2 linked regions of the Arabidopsis thaliana genome follow. The protein of the gene in region 2 interacts with the protein of the main gene of each other region in a pairwise test. Each region holds a gene or a part of one and is shown on either strand. Other genes may lie near its edges.

Region 1 (4,078 bases), 9.7 Mb from region 2:
TACATGCGCGATTATTAAAAGTAAATCACATATTAATACTTTTAATTGGTCAGCCACAAAAAGTGTAACCTTACTTTTTTTGCCTTATGAGTTTTAGATTCATTGGATTTTAATTTTTTTAGTATGTAGTAATAGATTTTAAAATTTATTCATTCTTTGACTTCTTATGGTTAAATGTCAAACACACACATGGAGAAAAAAAAGCATTTGCCTAAAAAAAGAGCATGAGCCGCCAAGTCCTTAATATTATCCAAGTTTTTAGGGTCACAGTTTCAAGTTATGCATAATTTTAAAATTTTATTTCATTCTTGATTGTTCTATGCTTGATCTTGTTCAGTGTAGTAGTAGTAGTAGTAGATGTGATGGAGACTAGCAACAAAATGATACGACACTAAATACTACAAATGTGTAAAGGTAAAAGATGATGGAAGGTTTGCTAACTATAATTTTAACGGATTTTAAACTTGAAATACAAGTGTCGTCGACCGGCAATATTATTGTGGTGCTAATTCTGACTTGAGATATGTTTGGTAACGACAAAACATATCGAACAGTAGCTAAGGATCTTTTGAAATTGTTTTACAATATTTTTCACATCATAATTAGTTTACTTTTAAGGTGAATGAATTTGTAACCATATAAAGTAAGAACGATTAAAACCGTATATCAACAGTCTGATATATAGATTTAAGATAATTTAAATCGAAAATATAAAAAACAAACATAAGAAGAAATAAAAGAAAGACAAAAAAAAAACAGACCAAACCATTTTTACCATCCCCCACTAAAATTCTACAACACTGAACCTCAAAAATGCTTAGGCGTGACATTGCCACAAGTGCAAAGTGGGGTGCATGATCATATGTTCCCACTTAATATCCTCCTTAAACCCAAGTCAACCAATCATTTCCCTCCACGTCATTACCTGTTTCTTTTTTCTCCTTTAAGCTAATTGAAACCTAATTAAAACATTTTCTCCTTTTTTACTCCTCCGGCGAAGCCTATTTCCGACGAGGCGTGAAGGACTGATAAACGACGGTTCCGGAGCCTGGAAACTCATCCATAAGACGGCTCCGACACTTAAGATCAAGCTTCTTAGCTAACACACGCTCCACGCGCTTAGTCACCTCGTGGTTGTAATCTTCGCCGCCGTAAGTGGTGGCGATCGAGACGTCACTTGGACGGAAAACATCAATGGCCCGGCTTAACACCTCAGAGATATCTTCGTGACCGTTGTCGTAGAGAGACAAACCACACTCGAAGCTCGCGTAGCTAAAACCGTCTTCAGGCGTTACGTGGATAGTTGAGTAACGGTCACCGTCGACGCCGTTCATCGAGTAACCGCAAGGATCAAACGCGAAATCGCATATATAAGCGTTTGCGTTTATGTTATCGATACCACTGAGCCGCGTCATCTCTTTCCCGGCGGAATCGCTGTTGTTTTTCTCGTCACCTTTCCGTTTAAAGAAGCTTCGAGCGTTGACTCGGTCCAGCTCCGTCATACATACTTCGACTACGACGACATGTTCGTCGGATTCCACGTCAGCGCTTGCGGTGAACACGTGCCAAGCACGTGATGGGTTATTAGAAGGCGTCATAACAGAGGCTTTGCGGTAACAGAGAGATTTTGGGAGGCTTTCTTCGACGACGATGACTTCGTCTTTGAAGCTTGTGTAAGGGAAAGGCTGAGCTTTAGGGAAGATGAAGCTGCCACGCGAGTAGCGACACGCGCGTAACGTGAGGCCGAGGTTACGTGCGAGATGGATCAACGGTCGGATTGATTTGAGGAGTTGCGTGGTTCCACATGTTTTGATGATGATTTTGGTTGGGTATACAAAGAGGCTTGACTCTGAGAGAACGTAAGCGTCGAAGCTACGATTCGCTACGGCGGAGACCACTGTGCACTGCACTTCGTTTAAGACTTGGTCTAAAGATTCGAAGTCTATTAGACGGAGTCCCATAGGGTTTTTGGTGATTGGTTTGTCATCGTCGAAGAACCGAAGTTCGAGTCTTTTCTCGAAACCCTCGAACCCAGACACTGCCATTGCAAAGATCAGAAGAAGATGTTATGAAACAGAACAGAGGAAGTTGCAAGAAGAACACGGCAAAGGAAATGTGTTTGTGTGTGAGTAGAGAGAGAAGAGAGAGGTAGTGGTGATTAGTGGGAGAGAAGTGGTATTTATAGGAGAGGGTTTGGAGGATAGAGAAGAAGGAGCATGCGGGTTAAGAGACCAAGAATCATGATTGTAGGCATAATGAACGAGAAAGATGATGAGAGTTTGTGTTTTGTTTTGTATGTATGCGTGTATGTATCTGTGTATGTGAGAGATCTAGTTAGTGTGCGTCTGATTCTGTTCTGTATTCTTGTGTTGTTCTGTAATGAGAAGGAGTTTCATGGGTGGTTAAGCGCATGCAAATTTGGATGTTTTTTTCTATTACTTTTTATAATCAAATCTTTCTTGCAGGTGATATGTTAGTTCGATTTGATAATATCGCAGAAATGCAAAATCATGAACAACAAAAAATGTAGGATTGACGCCTTAATAATAAAACATGGTTTAACTCCTTTGACTATTATTTATTTTAAGAACTATGAAATTGTGCAAAGTATTTATTTCGGATCATTCTACTTACTGAATTAAGATATGTTTTTTTCATAAGATTTTCTTTTAAATCTTAAACTCAAAATAGCTAATTTTGAAGAATATTGTTTACATAAATTATATAAAACGGTTCGGTACGAACTTTTCGTTCCAAATTGTCTCACCATAATATGGATTAGTTAATGTGAATTTTGGATTCCATATAATTATGTTATCAGTAAAATTATATACATATAATAATCTCAAAGACATTAGTCATTCCAAATGTTAGCCATAAAATGTCTCGCTTCAAAAGCTACCAATCATATTCCTAAAAGACTGGTGACACTAATTGATGGCATTACCTTTTTTAGTGGTGTTTATGCCATCCAAAAATTTCAAGGGGAGGGGTATTTTTCCTTATATATTGTAGTAGTTGGTTTTGAAGCTGATAAAGCATATAATTAAGATAATTGGTTTAATAGTTATGTGAAATGTATATCTTTTGACTATCTTTAGGCTCTCGTACAAAAACTATCGCAGGATCGACACTAGAAGTGGAAAGGCTTGTTTAGGCTATGCTATCAACTAGGACTTCAGGATATATTATTCCATGGAGTTTATTTAAAATGTAAAACATTAACTAAAAGCTTGTGTACAAGAACAAACAAATTGACAGATACGAAATTCTTGAAGAAAGAATTTCAAAGAGTTAAATCTACTTTCACAAGTAGAAGAAACGATTTGGTTGATCGAATGAACTTGTCAATATATATCTCAATGTAATACCATATTCTTTGTTATTCCATGGATGCCAATATTTGTGTTACAAAGCTTATAATGGAAGGTTCAAAAATGTTTTGGCACACGAAATACAACACATAAACAAATAGTACCGATAGACCTTAACTTACCGATTAATTAAGCAAAAAAAAAAAAAAAAAAACTGAAAAAAGAAACCGTGTTTACAATTCGGTTACGAGGCTCTCGTACATTGGTTCCAATCACCCGTTATGTATCACTCATCATGCCAAAACAAAGTACACATGACACATCTTTACGTAGCCCATATTAAATAATATATCTGATTAGCCACACACACACATACTATATCGTGGACAAGACACAAAAGATCTTGAAAGGGCAATGGAACAAGTGTCTGCAAGAATCATCAATTTTAGTGGCTTGTGTGTCAAACAATCGCTAATGCACATAAAACTTTAAATTATTTTCTTCGTATATATGCACGTATATGTTAATATCTAATTTCATTTTCAAAAGACATAATTAGACGCAGCATTTTTTCTCTACTTGTTCTCTTTTTGTCTACTTGTTGGTGACCATAACTTGTATCTTGTAAAAATGGGTTTTGTTTTTGTTCATCGGCTTTCTCCCTTTCTTGATATAGATTTTAAGGTTTAATTACTCTGTCTCATTGTAGTGTTCCCTCTTTTTTTCTTGGTTGATTTTTAAAAGTTTGTGTTAACAACAAAATA
Region 2 (4,058 bases):
TTCTTTGCGGGAGAAGTAAGCATTGCAACAATGTTTCAACAATTCATTTGTGTGATTTAGTAAAACAATGCATTTGGAACATGGACACATGACATGTGGAAGTAGGCATCCATGTACACACGCACACACATGACATGATAAATGTAACATATCTTTACTTGCATTTGTGTATTCAGGTACTAAATGTAGATGGAGTTACAGGAGGATTCAATTTCCAGGTGAACTTTTAGTTATAGCATTGAAATATCTTTTACTCAAATGTATTAAACGAAACAACAAAAACCATATCTTTTACTTTCCTAAATGAAATTTCACACCTGCAGAATGCTTGGTCAGGTGGTTATATCGCAGGCACAAACATCGGCGAATTAGCAAGTAGTAGCAGAATAAGTTCGAAAGAAAGAAAAGTTACTATAGGATTGTAGTTTGCTTATAAGAAAAGTACTGTCAACATTTTTTTTCTTTTTGTCAAAATACAGTTTCTATTTATCTATGTAGGAGCATTATCGGACATTATTATTGTAGCTATGATATGGTTGCAACACGCACAAGCTGAAAAGGTGTCAACTTTGTATCATAAACCACTGAAAGCAGAGTCTAAGCATTTCAACAAACCATTTCAATCAATCATGGCATCACACAGAAGGTCTTACATTAGCAGAGAGTATAGAACATCACATTCCCCATAAACATACCATTTATTATTGAGTTTACACAAGACTATTGGTTAAGGCGTTAACAATGCTCATTATGCTCTGAGTTTGCTAACTTTCTTCTCAAGTTCGTCCTTTTTGGCACCAATGATTCTTTCAATTTCTTTACCCCTTTTCACCAGCACAAAGGTAGGCATTGCCGTCACATTAAACTCTTTAGCCACATCCTGAAAACATTAGTCATGCAATAAATTTAAAATTGTTTCTCAGTACAAAATCCAATAACTGTTGAAACAGAAGCAGCTATGTGAACCCATTTCAACCAACTTCTCATCTATATATCAGAATTCGAGTGATTAGCAGTTGTACCTTAACATAATCTAACTTCTACTCATAATCAGAGAAAAACAGAGAAGTATGGATCAGTCAAAACAAGAGACAGAGACACAAAAGTTGAAACTTTGATTGGCAAAGTATAACCATGACAGAGATGCACCAAGTTTAGATATTTTTCTCATTACAAAACACCAAATCTCATGTTATATCAGAACTAGATTGATCTGCACTTATGTACCATAAAGCTATCCAATTTCTTCTCACAACACTCCAATGGAGGAATTTTAGGTAAAACAAAACAGTAAACTATAGTCTATGGATCAATCAGAGACAAATAAAGTCAGAAACTTTTGATAGCATTACAAAAAAAAGATGAAGACTTTATGACAGAGATACTTACAGGAAGTTCATCAACATCTAATTTGACGAAATCAACATCATTGAACTTATCAGCCATGGCATGAATCGCAGGCTCAATCATCCTACATGGTCCGCACCATGAGGCCGAGAAATCAACCACCAGCTTTATTATTCACAGAAACCAAATCAGTTAAATTCCATTGAAACACGAAATCGATTGAATCGAATCGAGAGTCTGAGAGACGTTACCAGTTTGTTTGATTCTTTGATCTCGTTGAAATGAAGTTGCCACCGAGCGGAAGAGCTAAACTTTAGGACGCGACTTGGCTCAGATTCGGTCCCTGCAGCTGTTGCATCTTCTCCACTTCCAAACACAGTTGATAAAGCTCCTCCCATTATCGTCTCTCGTCTCGCTTCTCTCTCTGATTGCGTTTAAGAACGACCCTGCTTTCTTTGGTCAACGATCGTGTCGTTTAATATTCAAACATCGTGCCGTTTCTACCACTAGAGCTGGTCAACTATGGGCATGCCCACCTCATTTAGCCCATTTAAAATCTACCCCATTTAAAATTATTTAATTTTAAGATTTATAAAATTGCCCATTTAAACTCATATACCCATTTAGATATAAATTAAAAAAGCAATTTAAGTGACTCGGAACACAAAACAACTACTAAATCAAGAATGTGTCTAACCTTTTATAAAACAAACTAAAATCAACACTTACCATCAAATTTCAAATTCTTACCAATCGAAAGACACTAATATCTATAAATCAAACTCAAACATGTTCAAGTTTTCAAACACAATAAGTTTCTTATTCTTCTTAGTTCCAAAACATGTTGCTTCTTCTACATTTGTTTCATGGTGCACTTGAATTTTCTGATCTTGAAGATTCTGCTCGGGTACTAATTGCAATCATCCTTGCATATTGGTTGCAAATCATCAATGTCTTTTAGGGTACCTACAATTCAAAGTATGAATTCGTTTTAAAACATGATCACTGCAAGAAACCTCGTTTTAAAACATAACTACACAATATTTTTACCTTCATATTCCGCAAATCCTCGCAACCAATTATGAGTACAAAGCAGAGTCTGAAAGTTCTTCGGAAGCAACCAGTTCATGTATGGACTCGAGACCCGTGCTCTGATGCTAAAAGCAGACTCAAATGCTACTGTCGTGATAGGAATGCTAAGTATGTCATGCACCATAGATGCTAAGTTACCAAATCTGTGTTGGTTTTCTTTCCAATAGCTCAAAACATCCAAATTTCGAAAAGCCTTTCTATGTAACCTTGGCTCATCCAAATAAACATCTAATTGCGTCTTCATGTTGTCCACATCACTTTCTAAGCTTCTTTCTAGCTCAAAAAGGATTACAATATCATTTTGGCTATGGGTGCAATCTTGGATCCTAGATGAAGTTGCAGATTCTTGAAAAAACTTATAAGCTTATGAGTATGTGGATCTTTCTACTTCTAAGTCGAAAGCTAAAGAACTCAAAAATGTATTGAAAGAACTCTACAAAGATTATGAGAAAAGGAAGTTGGCAAGTTTATGTGGAGCTTTTGTCGGCTCTCTCAACTATGATTCGCTTGTGGAGCTTTTTTTGACTCTCTCAATATTAATGTGAAAAATAAAGAACCGGACCAAACTGAAACTGTATAATCAAATCGAACCAAACCGAAATATTAATACCAAAGATTTGGATTGTAGCTCTTTCGATTTTAGATTTTGTTGTAAGTATGGTTTTTTTAAGAGAGAATGTAAAATTTATTCAATCTTTTTAAAAATGCATCAGTTTACAAATGTATCAAACTACTGTTTTCATTTTAGTGTCGCAAAAAATTAGTCGTTAAAGCATAGTATAACACATAATGTGTTATTGCATTTGAAAATTTTTATTTGTTGGCAAAATGTTCACCAAGTTGTATTTTGTTGTGGAGCATTCATAAGCTTTGGAAAAAAGTATGAAAAATTTAGGAGATAAACAATTTTGTTAAGAATTAAAAGATAAATTTGTACAAAGATTTCATTTGATGAATTACGGATCAAATTATTTAGGTTTCAGTTTATAGGACCTGAATCAAAAATAATTTTAATTTAAGTAAAACTAAATTGAGCTGAAAAATAATAGAGTTTATTAAAAATATATATTTTTTAGTTTTTTTATCTATTATATCATCATTAGAAATATTTGATCTAATCCTATTATGAAGTAGTTTACCTACAATAATAATGTTTAAAACGATAAACAAAAAAAAAAAATTGAACATAACTATCATAAATTGGGTTAATTGGTATTGTTCCGTCAGTCAGCTTAATTAGTATTGCTCAGTCATATTAAACGTTACAAAGTCCGGATCGAATTCTGACCGAATTCAAACGGTAAATAAATCGAACTTACTTATTACATGGATTTAAAAGCAACCCACTATAAAGCCCAGTGGGGTTTTAGAACCCAAATAGGAAAACGACGTCATATCATATGTAAATCTCACATCACTCACGTCGACAAATCGGCATGACCAAACAACGGCAGAGTTCTCTCGATTCTCATCACCGGTGAACCAAAAGGTTTAGGGTTTTAGCTTCATCCTTCTGCTTCAAAGCTTCAATCTTTTCTCTCGATTCTCATTTCCAATTTCATAACTGATTCACAAATGCAAAGCTTCGTATACCCATAAAGTTGAATTTGTCGTCTGCA

What was found.
Region 1: the proteins of TRX2 (region 2) and BUD2 interact in binary tests that used the Arabidopsis thaliana proteins (3 or more experiments, as listed by UniProt).

Annotation. Positions count from the first base shown.
Region 1 is NC_003076.8:6,311,171-6,315,248, forward strand, and holds BUD2 (Adenosylmethionine decarboxylase family protein), read right to left. Parts: upstream 2,203-4,078; 5' UTR 2,046-2,202; coding exon 1,002-2,045; 3' UTR 555-1,001; downstream 1-554. Other genes in the region: AT5G18933 (uncharacterized protein), read left to right, coding at 2,217-2,277, 2,466-2,526, 2,957-2,992, 3,102-3,174. UniProt on the Arabidopsis thaliana protein: Essential for biosynthesis of the polyamines spermidine and spermine. Essential for polyamine homeostasis, and normal plant embryogenesis, growth and development.
Region 2 is NC_003076.8:15,990,137-15,994,194, forward strand, and holds TRX2 (thioredoxin 2), read right to left. Parts: upstream 1,843-4,058; 5' UTR 1,746-1,842; coding exon 1,599-1,745; intron 1,513-1,598; coding exon 1,390-1,512; intron 881-1,389; coding exon 749-880; 3' UTR 551-748; downstream 1-550. Other genes in the region: AT5G39940 (FAD/NAD(P)-binding oxidoreductase family protein), read left to right, coding at 1-15, 177-218, 324-425. UniProt on the Arabidopsis thaliana protein: Thiol-disulfide oxidoreductase probably involved in the redox regulation of a number of cytosolic enzymes. Possesses insulin disulfide bonds reducing activity.